Linked DNA regions of Drosophila melanogaster. The main gene of each other region encodes a partner of the protein of the gene in region 3 in a complex. Each region holds a gene or a part of one and is shown on either strand. Other genes may lie near its edges.

The links. The genes of interacting proteins can lie anywhere in the genome.
Region 1: Saf6 (region 3) and Spt20 share a complex: the UniProt entries of both Drosophila melanogaster proteins name them as parts of the spt-Ada-Gcn5 acetyltransferase (SAGA) complex.
Region 2: Saf6 (region 3) and Sgf29 share a complex: the UniProt entries of both Drosophila melanogaster proteins name them as parts of the spt-Ada-Gcn5 acetyltransferase (SAGA) complex.

What each region holds. Positions count from the first base shown.
Region 1 is NT_037436.4:13,501,100-13,506,127, reverse strand, and holds the start of Spt20 (Spt20), read right to left. Parts: upstream 3,422-5,028; 5' UTR 2,780-3,421; coding exon 2,744-2,779; intron 2,673-2,743; coding exon 1,731-2,672; intron 1,673-1,730; coding exon 1-1,672. Other genes in the region: Tgi (Tondu-domain-containing growth inhibitor), read right to left, coding at 4,073-4,845, 4,914-5,028. UniProt on the Drosophila melanogaster protein: Component of the transcription regulatory complex SAGA, a multiprotein complex that activates transcription by remodeling chromatin and mediating histone acetylation and deubiquitination. The SAGA complex predominantly acetylates histone H3.
Region 2 is NT_033778.4:21,291,318-21,295,500, forward strand, and holds Sgf29 (SAGA-associated factor 29kDa), read right to left. Parts: upstream 2,330-4,183; 5' UTR 2,180-2,329; intron 2,125-2,179; exon of another isoform or gene 2,098-2,124; 5' UTR 2,043-2,097; coding exon 2,004-2,042; intron 1,949-2,003; coding exon 1,720-1,948; intron 1,668-1,719; coding exon 1,510-1,667; intron 1,441-1,509; coding exon 997-1,440; 3' UTR 922-996; downstream 1-921. Other genes in the region: CG30392 (uncharacterized protein), read right to left, coding at 1-264, 325-542, 610-767; RpL29 (ribosomal protein L29), read left to right, coding at 2,743-2,844, 2,914-3,042; CG9752 (uncharacterized protein), read right to left, coding at 3,118-3,893, 3,950-4,183. UniProt on the Drosophila melanogaster protein: Component of both the SAGA and CHAT histone acetyltransferase complexes, which both predominantly acetylate histone H3.
Region 3 is NT_033779.5:812,239-817,879, forward strand, and holds Saf6 (SAGA factor-like TAF6), read right to left. Parts: upstream 3,713-5,641; 5' UTR 3,594-3,712; coding exon 3,237-3,593; intron 3,184-3,236; coding exon 3,037-3,183; intron 2,984-3,036; coding exon 2,005-2,983; intron 1,947-2,004; coding exon 1,713-1,946; intron 1,656-1,712; coding exon 1,219-1,655; 3' UTR 1,076-1,218; downstream 1-1,075. Other genes in the region: Dbp21E2 (DEAD box protein 21E2), read left to right, coding at 1-258, 324-1,073; Pex12 (peroxin 12), read left to right, coding at 3,845-4,738; CG15880 (uncharacterized protein), read right to left, coding at 4,808-4,944, 5,006-5,641. UniProt on the Drosophila melanogaster protein: Component of the transcription regulatory complex SAGA, a multiprotein complex that activates transcription by remodeling chromatin and mediating histone acetylation and deubiquitination. The SAGA complex predominantly acetylates histone H3.

The DNA of each region.
Region 1 (5,028 bases), on a different chromosome or scaffold from region 3:
TTATTTGTTGTCGCGGCAGTGCAACATGATGCACTGTGGCGGATAACTGCTGTCCCGCTTGTTGTGTCTGCTGTTGTTGTTGCGATTGTTGCTGCTGATTGGCAACAACAACGACTTGCTGCTGCTGCTGTTGTTGTTGCTGCTGCATTTGAGCTTGACGCTGCTGCTGCTGTTGTTGCTGCTGCAAGAGGATCCGCTGCTCATTCGTCAATCCCGTGTGAGTCACAATTGGCATATGCCCGGGTATCAAATGCGTGATTTTGACCGCCTTACGTCCCTCCTCGGTGAAGATCTCGCGGAACTGTTGAATGTATCGATTGGCATGCACCCGAGTGCCCAGCGCAAAGCGGCACGACTCGCCGTTTCGCTCACCCTCCCGGTAATCTCGGTCCACATAGAGCTCGCCGAGATACTCTGCATCGGAGGGGCGCTGGAAAATGGACAGCTTTATGTGGTATAGAGCCCGCCGGCCTTCACTCGCCTCCCGCTCCGTCTCAAGAATGTATTCCTCGACCAGCTGCGGTTGGAAGTTATGACGACAGTTTGGCTGGCAACCGTCCTTGCAGGCCTCACTGAATTCGTTAAGGGGCTCGTAGGCCTTGGCATACTTTTCCACGCTGATCACGTGCTCGGGCACCTTCAGATTGGCGGGATACTCCAGTGTGGGCGGACGAATGGGCCGTATGACCTCGTGTGGTCGCCGGGGCACCTTCGATGTGAACGAAGAGAGCATGGCCCCCACCAGCGGATTGTTGGTGGGCGCCGTGGCCGGTGTGGCATTGGCGCCACCACTGCTACTTCCCGTCCGCGGTCGCTGGCGCAGGCGAGCCAGGTAATCGCACAATTCCAGTCCGTGATGGTGAGTGAATTGGTCCAACTTGCGCTTCCGATTGATAGCCGTTTGGGTGAACTTCTTCATCTGGCGCCGCAGCTCGTGGGAGTTGTACAGCTGACGCTGATGCTGGGAGTTGATGGCCTGCCGCCCTATGCTGGGATCCGGCTCCAGACACAGCGGCTCCGCCGTGGCCAACACCAGCTGGCTCTCCAGGGCGAGCTTGTCCTCCGCCGGCAACTGGCTGCCCATTTGCTGCACTTCCGCGAATAGGGTGGCGTTCGTGGGCCTGAGCAGGATGTGCTTCATATCACAGATATTCGTTGAGGTGGCAAATGTCTGGCGGAAGTCGCGGATCTGGGCGATAACGCAGCCGGCATAGAAGACGCTAGGCTTGGCGTACACCCGTGTTCCCTCGCCATCCGACAAACTGACGGTCTCCGCTACGAGTAGATCCATTAAAAACTCCGGCAGCATTTCACGATCGATGCATTGCAGCAGCAAATCGTTCTCGTAGGGCCACCGAAGCACCTCCACGAGTCCAAAATCGTGTTTGGCGTGACCCGCCTCCGTCTTGGATTGACTTTCGTCCTGGGCTAGCGGCTTGGGACGACTCCGATGACTGCCCGTTCCCGTACCCAATCCCGCAGCATCGCTCGAGGTCTCGTCCTTGTCCGTGGGGGACCATTCGTTTGTTTGCGGATTTAGCACCATGTGCTCGTCATAATGCAGGGCCAGCGAGTATCCCTTATTGCCGGGATACAAGTTGACCACAATCGTGTTGAGCTTCTCCCGATCCACCAACCGCTCCAGTGTAAAGGATCGAGTGCGCTGCTTTAGCTGAAAGTGATAAGAGTCCTTACATAAGGTTTCCGCTTTTGATTGGCTCAACACTTACCCCTGTCTCGGCAAAGTAGTTTAGGTCGTTGCTCAGCAGTTGCAGGTACAGGTCCCTTATTTTCTCGTGCAGATTAAAGAACTTGCTGTTGCCCGACTGGCAGACGGATGAAGGTGGCTTGCTGTTGCTATTGGAGGAGGCAGCGCCGGCGCCAGCGCGCGCTGATTGCGACGACGAGGTGGCTGTGGAGACTGATGCGGCGGGTATAGCTGAGCTGCGACTAGAGGAGCTGCTCTCCTTGCTACTGCTATTGGACTTCTGGCGCTTGCTGGGCGACGACGTGGGCGATGCCAGGACATGGTGATTGTGCGTCTGGTGGAGGTGATGATGGTGCAGGTGGTGGCCGCCTCCACTGGCTGTTGAGTTGGCGGAGGGTGGCCGCTTCTCGGACTTCTTGCTGGACACACTGGCCGCTCCCGTTGAGCTATTGCTTAGACTGGAGTTAACGCCCGGCGGTGTCGACAGCAGAAGATCGGGCACCACCGGCGACGGCGACGTGATTGAGTTGAAGTTCGACATCGTTGTGGTGGAGGATGAGCACGAGGAGGGCGACGGAGCAATTGCAGTGGGCAGGCCGCTGGGCGTGGCCGAGGTCGGCTCCGTGAGCAGGCTGCCCAGTGAGCCGCCAGTGCCCTCGGTGGGGGACTCGTCGTCATCGAAGATACAAATGGGCGGCTGGGCAGGAATCTGTGGTATAGCCTGCAATAGGCTGGTCTCCAGGTACGATTTGCTGCTCGAGGAGGCGAACTGCTGCTGCTGGAGCGTGGGATGCAGCTGATGGTAGGACTGCTGCGGCTGCAGCTGCGGCGAGGATCCAGACGTGCCGTACTGGACGAACTGCGTCTGGTGGACACCCGAACCGTGGGCGTGGACCGCTAGGCCCTGGACATGGTCCGCGTTGCTGGAACCCTTTAACTTTTTGAGCGTGTCATTTATAATAAACTGTCGAAAAATAAAGTGTAAAATGGGAATTAATCGTATTCAGGCTGCATGAAAAATGCCACAGTTCTTACGTCGGCTTCTTGGCATGAGGAGTCCAGGCTTTGCATGGTGGTGCCAGCGGATTGCTAGGGGAGATCCAACGGAGGATGGCGCACCCAATTACCGACGACATCCAAGCACCAGTCTACGAACAATCCTGGCCAGGATCGGCGGCATTCGCATTGCGCTAGCAGGTGTCCGTGTTGCCAGTGAACGTCGAATTACGAATTTCTAGGACCGCAGACGCAGGGCTCCGTTGTTGTCTCCTACTTTCGCTGGCTGCTGCTGCTGCTGCTGCTGTCCATCGGTTAGTTTCGCCACACTCAGCACTCGGCTGTGCCGCATCAGGATCGTTTTGGGGTGCTCCTCGGTCCGTCTGTGTGACGAATCGCTGCACTGGAGGACACTGAGATCGGATCCCGATGGCGATTACTGCGGTTTCTTCACTCTTTTTCCACTTCCACTGCTGCTGCTGCTTTGCGTGACATTTTCTCTCTGCGCCCCTCTGCCGACGAACTCTCTTTCTGGCGCTGCTGCTCCGTGAATTTGCAAGGTCGCGCGCTCTGCTGCGGTTATGGGGCGAACAGTGGGCTGGTTCTTTAATGATACGCCGAGGATTGCTCGCTTTTAATTGTTTTAAAACTTTGTTTTATGCTTTTTTTTGCAATGTAAATGTACTGTACGATTCGTGCCGTGCGAATGCCAACAATCGTTATCGTTCGCTGTGAATGGCATTGTCGCCGTTCCGTCTGCCGTTAGTGGTGTGTGCACATTGGCTGCCCATGCACTGTGTGCTGTTAGGCGCGCGCTGTTAACGCTCTGTTAGCCGCCCAACAGTCATTTGAAAATTCAAAATATGCAATTCAAAATCTGAAATTTTGCAGTTTATTTCCCACTTTCGGTGAATGAATAGACAGACTTTGTAGGATTGTTTACTTATGTTTAATAGGTATATTATTAAGGATTAGTCTCTACCAACTAAGCGTTAAGAATACAAAATTTTGTCACTTGTACGTATACACTTTGTCATACACATTTATCCATATATATGTAAATATTCATATATATATATATATAATTATATCCGCGCGCTAACCGTTATCAATATTCAATAAAATCATTATATCAGAAACTTGTAATACACTCGCAGTTGAAGAATTTCCGTTCACATCAGCATGAGATCTTTAAACGTTAATTGTGTAGTTTGAAATATTTATAATAAAAACAGCTCTTGAGTTGAATCGTTGAGGATCAGGGGTTGCTTTTGGGTTGGGTTGTGTTGAGTTCTGTTGGGAATTGGGATCGGGATCGGGATCGGGTTGTGTGCGGGTTGGTGGGTGATTTGCTCGCTTGCTCCTCCTCTACTCCTTGTGCCCGCCCTGCAGCTTCTTCCAAGTTTCGCCCAGCGCCTTGGCAAAGTGGTCGTCCACCGAGGCTTCAGTCTTGGTGAATATCGAGATATTCGTGGACGAGGTGGGCGAAGCGGGCGGCGTCTGCGTCGAGGAGGCAGCCACGGCCGCCAGTCCCGGTTCAGCCTTCACCCGAATGATGGCCGGCATGCTGGGCGTGGGCGTGGGAATCTGCGACGGCGTCGGATTCGGAGTTGGTGTCGGTGTCAAAGTCGGCGCCACAACGGTGGTTCCGGCTATTCCGTAAGCCGGCGGTGGAGGCGGTGGTGTGTTGTATCTCGGCGGCGTGTGGTGTGGCGTGTCCAGGATCCGCCTGCCCGCCACCGCTGCCTCCATCACCTGGCTGACGGCCGTGGGTAGCGCTGGTGCCGATCCCGTGGCCGAAGGTGGCGGCGATGGCGGCGTTTGGGTGCGATGCAGTGCCAGCGACAGGGGAAGCGGTTCCTCCTGCGGCGGCGGCAGTTCCGGCTGCAGCGATTCGGGCTCCAGAATGACCCATCCCGACTTGGCCAGCGGCGAGCGTTGCTGCTGGTAGTGCTGCGATGCCGCTGTGCTGGTTGATGAAGGCAGTCCGTAGGCCAGTGGCGAAACCTGCTGCTTAGGTGTACCACTTGGCGAGGGCGTGGGTGTTGGCGTAGGCGTCGGTGACTTCTTGGCGAACAGGGCAGCATAGTTCTCGCCCAGTGAGCGTCGGAAGTGCTCGTCAATGTCGCACATCGCCATATCTGCAAGGCAAATCAAAGCATCAGGTTAGTATGATCGTTGACACTAATGTGCATATATGACTTCTCACCTGTAGAGTGGGCCTGCTCCGGTGGTTCTCGCTTGGGTGGAGCCTGGGTAATGACGCTGGGTCGACTGTTGGCCGCGTAGTTGGTCCCAGGCAAGGGTTCGCGATAGGGTGGCGG
Region 2 (4,183 bases), on a different chromosome or scaffold from region 3:
AGAGGTCTTCTGTGCGATCGTAGTTGGTTCTCATATGCTTCAGCATGGAAGGCAGGTTCTCTTTGGCCGCCTCGACATCGGAGCACACTTTCTTGAGAAGATCTCCCCTAGTGGGCATCGCGTACATAGCCAGGCGCGCTCCTTTGCGGATGAGGAATGAGTGATGCTTGCCCAGGGTGTCATCGTAGGCCTCCTTGCACACGTCCACAGTCTTTTGGTCGTCGGGTATCGCCTGGATCCGATTGAGAAACTCGTAGACAAAGTCTAGATAAGAAGAAACCAATCAATTAGCCACTGTGGCAGTTATATGCGCATAACGCTCACCAAGACCGCGATGAAGACGTAGCAGCGTTCGACTGCCAGACACGTAACCCTTCTGAGTAAGCAACTGGGCCTCCTTCTCGTAATCCAGCATGGTTCTGAAGGTATTAAAGTGTTCCTGCTCCTCCGCGTCCTTGGCTCTCAGGGCGTATAAGATATCTATTTTACTGCGCACATCGCTGCTGACAAAACTGAAGACACTGCCCATGAGCTGGAAGAACCTAATGAACACCGAAAGCCCAATAGAGCACCACTAAAAAACATAAACATCATAATCACTCAGTTTACTTCATTATTTCCTCGTAGGCTGCCAAGTATGCGTCTAATTGTACGTCATCCTCGTCCAGAAGGCTGGTTTCGAACAAATTAGACACTTTGAGGATATCAAAACAGTTTCCATTTTCCGCCGTGCCATTGGTCTGCGTCGCTAAGCTCGTTTTACTCATCTTATAAGCCTGCCTTTCCCCTTTGTTTTCCTACAAACTTTAAAGTCTATTTATTTTTTTTAGGAAATCAATGTAACCGTTCTCCAAAAAATCCGGTATTAAAATACCACCCTGAAATTACTTTCTTCTTATTCCAGACAGAAACCAGTCTATTGTGAATTGAATACAATTTTAATTGGAGCTATTATTACAATTACATTTAATTCTTAAAGTTAAGATAATACATTTTTTATGCTGATGATAGATTCCCGCTGCCACTGCCAGCCCCCTTTTTCGTTGGACGATATGCAATCACATAGCGCTGTGCGACCGGCAAGGGTTCGGCATAGCCATTCGTGTACGATGAATCCTCGAATAGCACCTCGTAATCCTCGGTGGCGGTTTGCGGCAGGCGATGGACAATGGCCTTGTAGAAACAGGTGGTCTGTGGATATAGCGCCATTACCACTGTGTCCTTGGGGAAGAGGGCGTGACCATCGGTCTCAGGATTTGCACGCATTAGAGGCAGTGGGATGACCTTTCGCTTGCTCAGCACATGGCGATCCTTTTGCTCCTCGTCAATGTCAATTACGTCGTATTTGTTTTGACGGTGAAGGAACTGCACCACTTCCGCCAGGATCCAGTTCTCCTCCTCATCAATTCCCTTAGCTAATGCGGCAACATTGTCGCCAACCTATACAGTGGCGTCCGATTAGTCAGATCATCATCCCAGCTTCTTTGTCCAATCAAAATGAATGCTTACCTTGGCCACATAGTTCCCCTCGGCGGGAATGGCTCCACATAGAGCTGGTGCTCGTTCTCCTAGTTTGCCAACGAATAACGGCAACGTTTGCGCTGAGAGCTGCACCATTTTCATAAGGGCGCCCCGTCGAATGGCCTCCTTATTTCCAGCGTTGCGAGCTGTGGAATATGCGAGATTAAATCCTGTTTATACATCCCATCACTAACCCACCTTGGATGCGCCTCTCATTGCGAATGCTTCGAATCTCGTGGATTTTCGCCAGTGCGGCTCGGATTGTGGCCTCCTCCTGCGCAGCCTCCGTTAAACTGGCCTTGAGCAGGGGCTTAACCTTCTGATTGGTGGCGTGCAGAGATCGCACCAGACTAGCAATGGAGTTTTCCGCACGACGACGCTCCTCGTCCACATTGTGAATGTTTTGTTGAATGTCCTTCAGGCGATCCTGTAAATGCCATATAAATATAGTATATATCGACATTTATTGTTAACATCTTTACCTGAATCTGTTGGGCGGCACTCTCCGCAGTCAGTGGCATGTTGTTTCGATATTATAACAATATAATAAATTTGTTTTTTGAACACTTTGTTTACCTACGCAATGAAAACAAAAACAAGCATAAGCGTAAAGTCGACAACGCGTTAGTATTAACTATGCGATAGTTTTATATTTTACCTCAGTATTTTTTTAATCTTAGCAAATTTTATTTTACAGAGTAAAACAGAGTAATTATTGTTAAGATTTTTGTACCGTATAATCTCATTATTTGACTTTAGTGGATCTTTTTCTCAAACTCGAATATTTACTTTTCAAAGTTGTTTACGTTTCTTACATTGGAGATGGAAGCAAGTGCGCCTAACAGCACGCAGATAACAGCACGATATCTTCACGTGGTTGGCGTTATTTAGTCCCTTTTCTGCGCTCTATGACAGCCTCTCTGGCTTTCCCTTCTTTTCCATCGCGTTTCCGTAAGTGTGCTCCGCGTTTTTCCAATTGGCTATTTTTATTTATAATATCTTCAATTGCAGCTAGGAATTCCAGTGTGCGAAAAACGTAGGTGCCTAATACACGAGAAATGCAACGAAAATTTCAACAGTTGTTGGCTTTTTGTTCAACTGGCGTTGGCTAAAAGTGAACTCCAAGTGTTAACCCCAAGCTAAAATTATAATGGCGAACATTTTTTCTGTTTTCATGTGCCGCCCCATCAACGAATCTTTGGATACCCGGAGTAGTTTAAGATGGCCAAGTCCAAGAACCACACAAATCACAACCAGAACAAGAAGGCCCATCGTAATGGCATCAAGCGCCCGCTGCGCAAACGCCACGAGTCCACTCTGGGTGTAAGTATTCAAAAATATGCATATTTAGTTAGCATCTAGAGTTGATTTTAACAACCTTCCCGTCTTTAGATGGATGTGAAATTTCTGATCAACCAGCGCTACGCACGCAAGGGAAACCTTTCCCGCGAGGAGTCCGTGAAGCGCTACAACGAGCGCATCGCTTCCCAGAAGGGCAAGCCAAAGCCTGTTACTCTGTAGATGATTGCCCCGCGTGTGGATAATTAAAGGACAATTCAGTTTAACAAAGAACCGTCTTTATTTGTGTTGCCGTCGTTAGTAGTAGATGCTCAGCACCTTGTGGAAGGGAATGTGCTCCAGGTCGGCATTGTGCCGACGCCGGTAGTCCCACAGATATTGGTCGATCACAATGGAGTTGACGTTGTCCAGTGAGATTTCGGGGTGCTGCTCCTTGAGTATCTTCACCACAGCATCCCTAACTTGTTCGATGATGTATATAGATGCGCCGCGTATCTCCACCTCTCGGGGATCGCCGTTCTCCAGAATAGTATCCGTCTTTAGGAACTCCATTAGCTCACTGGTGTACTCCAAACTGCCGAAGTGCACTAGCACCTGGGGAATTCGGTAGTCAGCGAACATGGTTATCTGATCGATGTCATTAAAGAACCCAAGTCCCTGACCTCTGTAGCAGGACCACACATCGCCCACTAGGATTTGCGCTCGTTTTAGGATGGAAACTCGCTTTCCAGCAAACTCAGCCTCATCGCGAAAACAGGGAAACTCCTCCACAACGAGATCCAGCAAGCGAACTGCCGATTTCTCCGCCTTCTTGATAACATTCTCAAAACTGCCGTCGTACTTGTCGATCAGAACTTTTCCCACTTCATGGAGCGATTCCAGACGCTTTTGGAGCAGCGGAATCACTGTCTCGCCATCGTCAGAGCGGAAAATGTTCTCCACGGTTTTCAGATCAATCTGGGAATAGAACTTGGGATTGATCACATCCACGCCTTCCTTGATGGCTCTCTTAATCGCAGCACACAGCGCAAAGTAGCCGGTATAGCCATCGACCTTATATTTGGTGTAGTTATCTGCGGAAGATTACCATTGAAGATAGTGGATGCTGCTATAAATATCAATTACTCACTGGGGGTCCAAAAGCAAAAGTTCAGGGTGTCCAACACAAAGACCCAGTCGGCTGCTTTGGAATAATCCTCCGGCTGATTTGGATTGGGATGTAATTCGTGCTGCGAGAAGTTTTCCACAGCAATGCGTTTTTCTATTAGGCCTTTTACGATTTCCTGGGTCAGTTTCTCAATGCCTGCAGGCAGAATACGAACATGCTTGGCATTTTCTACGATATAGGCTCCAGATTCCCGGG
Region 3 (5,641 bases):
GGGGTCACGGAGAAGCTCACCCAGGGCACCAATCTCAAAGTGCAATCTTTACTTGGCGGCAATACCAAGCAGCTTATGATGAACCCACAGTTCGAGGAGGTGGACATACTGGTCGCCACTCTGGGTGCACTTAGCAAACTGGTGACCACTGGCATCTACCGCATGGAGCAGGTTCGTCATCTGGTTCTAGACGAAGCGGACACCCTCCTAGATGATACGTTCACAGACAAACTTTCCTACTTCCTCAGGAGATTTCCCGTAAGTCATTCTAGGCGATTACCAAAGGAATGGCTTCAATCAGCTTGTTTTTTCTTATTCGACAGTTCCACTTGGTGCAAAAGGAGGATGCTGGCACCCAGATGATCCTGGCCTCGGCCACCATGCCCACGAACACCAGAGAGATCCTTCACAAAGTCATAGACGTGGACACCATCCGTGAGGTCGTCAGTCCGCACCTGCACCGACTGATGTCTCATGTGACGCAGAAGTTCCTGCGGCTGTCGAAGGCCGATCGGCCCGCCACACTTCTGTCACTCGTGAAGCATGATCTTGCCAAACGTCGCCCTCTTATCGTGTTCAGCAACAAGTCCACCACCAGTGACTTCGTTTCCATCTTCCTGAACAACAGCGGAGTGAACTGCTTAAATCTGAATGGGGATATGCTGATGAAGATCCGTCTTGGCCGCTTCGAGCAGTTCCAAAACGGTCACTGCGACGTCCTTTCCACCACCGATGTGGGAAGTCGTGGCCTGGATACCACACGAGCTCGACATGTGGTCAACTTTGACTTTCCGCTCCACGTCTCCGATTATATCCATCGTTGTGGCAGGATCGGTCGGGTGGGCAACATGGACAAGGCGCTAGTCACGAACCTGATATCATCGCGCCGCGAAATCGACGTCGTCCAGCGAATTGAGCACGCAGCTCGAACAGGTGGACTTCTGCCGGATGTGAATGCCAACATCCGAAACATTATCAACAAGCGGATTGTGGCGGAGATGAAAGCTGCAGGAATGCCCGTGCCCGCTTTGGGCTCACTAAATGGACATACGCCTCAGGAAGAAGCCTTTTAGTTCTGTGTTTTTATGTATTACGAGTAAAGTTGTATCACCTTTCGGAAGACCGAAGAGGAAGTCTAAAGTAAACGAAGAGTTTTATTGAGATCCCCAGGTCCTCCTGGACCTCCAGAAGGTCTTATAATACTTTCCCAAGTCCCTTTCAGATCCTTAGGTAGTGATAGCCACTGATGGGCGACCACTTTCTCACGTTGGTCAGGGGCTTAAAGAGTTTTCGTTTGGCGATCAGGATGTCGGAGCTGGCACCGCCACCCCCACCACCGTTCGCTGCCGACGAAGGCGAGTCTTCGGAGTGGGGAACAGTCGCAACCTTCGGCTTCAGCAGCACCGGGCGGCATCCTGCAAACTTAAAGCGGATGTTGCCCGCGCAGTTGAGCTGAAGATTTGGTGACTGAAGGTCGGGGAAAGCCTCGCAGAGCGTAGGCTTCGGTTTGAGTGCCTTGCTAGGATCGTCTCCGTGGCACATGGCTGCCGCAAGAGTACTCCATTCCAACCGACGCACTCCCGGCACTGATTCTATTCTGTAAGCGGGTTGTTTGGCCTTCACATACCGTCTGGTTACCATCTTTTCGTAGGCTCCTGCAATGATTTTTAGTTACTTAACCGCTTTTCATGGAACACATGGGTGTTTCTTACGCGCATAGTGGACCAAGAAGGGCTGCAGAGCAGCACCGCATCCGTACTCCAGCCATTCATACAGGTATACGTCATCATGACCGCCAAGGAAGATGGCAGCCGGAGCCAGATCCGGCCACAGGCTATCCGGGATTTCCTCGACGCGCAGTTTGTAGATGTAGGGAATAAACTCACGAAAGGCATATTCTCCCAGGGCAATGAGACCGCGCACTGCTCTACTGATATACCTAAAGTCTTAATTAAGAAATCCAAAGATAAGGATCCAGGCTAACAAATTGTAAGGATGATTTACCTCTCTCACTGCTGACGTGGCGACCTTCGAAGAATCTCGCTAGGCGTCTCTTGATCAAAAACAGGCACTCTGCATGTAGGTAACCACTTTGAGATGCCAGCTGTCCTATAGTTTCACACAGCTCGTCCACCAGGCCATTGCCGACTGGACAGGCAAAGTAGCTGGATAGGTGTTCCGCCTCCGGCTGAGGATTCAATTCCTCCTCCTCCGATTGCAGCTTGTAGATTGTGTGTTCCATGGTGCTCTCACCCGGAAACATCTGGGGTTCTTGCTCCTGTTTCTCTACTCCCATGACCTCCGGATTTTCCTGGGTTTCCGGATTATGGCACTGGTCTGGCTCAACCTTTAGTTCTTCTTCAAACTCCATTTTGATGGAGGTGGTTTGTCCCGGATCTGGGTCGACGTGTGGAGCTTTGATAGTTTCGTAAGGTGCCATTAGCTGGCTGACCAGTACCTCGGCCAGGTTGAAGTACTCCGGCCGGCAGGCATTGTGATTAGCAGTGGCGTTGTAGTTGCATGCTCGGAGCAGTCGCCAGCATCGCTGGCTCAAATGGTCCTGCTGCTTAAAGGCTAGCAACTGGACCATCTTACTCACAATCACTCGGTAGATAGATCCCATCAGGGGTGTCTGAAAAGCATGGCAGACGGCGGCCGTCTGGGATTTGCTGTCCGCAAAAAGGGCTGCCGTCACAAGACTCTGGACACACTGTCTTAGTTGGTCCATGTGCTTATCCTCCACTGGGCAGATGCTCTGAAAGTCTGCATCATCAGGTGTGCACAGATTGACTTCCTTCTGAAACTCCGCGCTCAGCTCGAAGATCTTATCCGAGTGAAAGTAAAAACTGCCGTCATAGTCGATCCGGTCCCAGTCGCTGTCCATCGCACCCAGCATAGGCGGCACATCGGCATCTTTTAGCACTTCGTTCACCAGGTCGTATGTCACCACTCCGCCCGAGTGGCGCGAGTATATTTTGACATTCTGAGAGATCAAGAGGTTAGAGGGATTAAAGAGGTGTATTACGGTCGACTTACATTGATCAGCTCCCAGACTTTGTAGGAGGCATCTTCCGCCAAACGGGCGCACACATCCTGGGAGAGTTCCACATCGGTCTGGTCGTGCTGCTCCCAAAAGATCTTGATGCTGCGCGGATCGAAACCAGCATAGCTCTTCTGATGACCCTACAGTAAAGAGAGCTTGTACCATAAGAGGGCCCTGAGATTGGCATCCTTACCATTCGACTGGAGTTGCCAGAGGCTTCTGCGCCCGCGATGCCGCCTGCAAGTCCGTGCCCACCACTTCCTGCTACCGCAAATGAGGCGTCAAACAGATTGTAGTTACCCAGACTAGATGTTGGCGTGGTGGGCGTTGTCACCATGTTTAGGTGAGTGGGCGTGGCCGGCAGGCTGCCCACTGCAACGCCCCCGCTCACTGCGGATGCGATGGAGGATGATGCGGATGCCGACAGGGAATTCTTTCCAGTCAACTCCAATTTCGCCGACTTAGATCGCGACTTAGTGGACTTTTTGCTGACTTTGCTGTGCGATGACTTGTTCAGCTCGTCAGTATTGCTGGCGCCAGAGGTTTTCATCTTCTTGGTTTTGTATAATTCATAAATGTATATATTTTCAACAGTTGGTAAATAAACAACGAAGCTGCACCACAAAATAAACAAATCTTGCCAGATTATTAACCCAACTATCGATGGTGCCAACGACTTATCGATATATTGATGAGCACTCGACTGTTTTCAAGCCAAGCCCGATAACACCAGTACTGATAAGAATAACAACATAATTGGTATTCGAATTTAATTCCATTTATTTAAATGCTATAAACACAATGGCAGAAGCGGCAAATGTGCGCCAGAACCTTCAAAATGTGCCGTCGATCTTCGAAATTTCAGCGTCAGAGACGCTGGACAACCTGATTTACCCGGCACTGAGCAAGATATTCGACTACTTTGGACTACGCCTGGACTTTAAACTATGGGGGAGTTTGAGGATTCAGGAGGAGCTGTCGCCATTGCTGACTTGGCTGCTGCAGTACCTGTATCTGCGCAAGAGGGCCTCCTCTTTCGGTGAGAGCTTTTACGGATTGCAAAGGACGGTCACAACCACTGGGGATCTGCTGAACCGCAGGCAGCAGTTCGCCTCTGCCACACTGCTAACCTTCATGCCTTACGTGGAGCGGAAGCTAAGGACCAGGATCACCAGGCACGAGGACACCAGTCCCTGGGAGCAACGCCTTCTAAGCGCATTCCATGCTTTCCATGCCGCCAAGGCGGCGCACACATTCTTTTACCTCGTAAAGTACGCCTCAAACCACTCGCCCATCTTCAGATTGTTGGGGCTGACCCTTCGCTATCCCAGCGAACCTCCCAAAGAGGATCAGTGGACCTACGTGGTCCTAAAGATGCTGGAGGTCTTGGCCTTCTTCCTGCAGTTCGTCCAGTGGTGGTACTCCAACGACCAGCGGCGGAAAGTGGGTGGAACTCTGATAAATCCCGAAGCGATGCCGAGAAAGCAGCTGCCCAAGGAAGTGCAGCAGAGCCTTCCCCAGCGGGGAGAGTGCCCAGTCTGCCTGCTGTCCATCCAGACGCCCACTGCCTGCTCCGTTTCCGGCTACGTCTTTTGCTGGAAGTGCATCGTTAGCCACATGAAGGAGCACGGCACCTGCCCGGTCACCCACTATCCCATCAGTCTGGACGACCTGGTGCGCATCTACGAGACGTAACGTTAAGCATTCCTTTTATGTTTTTTGCTTGTTTTTGTTTAATACATTTTATAAGGAATTGGGAACTGTTTACATCTCGCTGAGGAAGAAACCCAAACGTTGGTCGTAACATATGTAGACGTGGTAGAAGTCAAAGTAGACCGTGCATAGATAGATAAAGAAGCACTCACAGGAGATGAACTCGCCCATACCGAATACGGAGTAGGCTGCAGAGGATCCGGGGATTAGAATTGTAGACATCCTTCCATTCGGTTAGGTTCTACTCACCCAAGGGAAAGCAAAACTTCTGGTGTATAAAGTAAAAAATCCACATGACCACCACCCAGACGTAGTAGGTGAGCACCAGACCGCTCTTCAACCGCAAGGAGAATTCCTCATGCAGCTGCCCAATCCTATCGCTCATATAGTACTTGGCGCACACAAAGGAACCTGCCATGTAAATGGCACACGATACGAATAGCGACAAGGCGATGGTTATGTGCAGCAATGAGTCGCCATCCTCTTGGGGGAAGGTGCCCCATAGCAGTACGCTGGAACTACTGACAGCCATAATGATGGCCATCAGGCAGCCGAAACCTCGGACCGGCCTGCGCAGATTCCTCCGATAGAATCGGAACTGCAGCCATGCACTGGCAATGAGAAATGGGAACTCCAGGTAGCAAGCCAGAGCCCACACTTTGTGCTGAGACTTGGCAGCCGCCGATGTGGAGGGAAAGATGTTGAAGGCATTACAGGTGGTATACGTGGTGGACTGGAAGTCCGTGGTGATGGCCATCACCAGGTTGTACACCATGCAGACGGGCAATTGCAGAAGCCCCAGTGCGAGAATCGGACCAACTGGGATGCGGAAATGCCGCCTCGCCTGCAAATCCTTGATGGAGCTGGGCAACAGCTTGGCTTGAT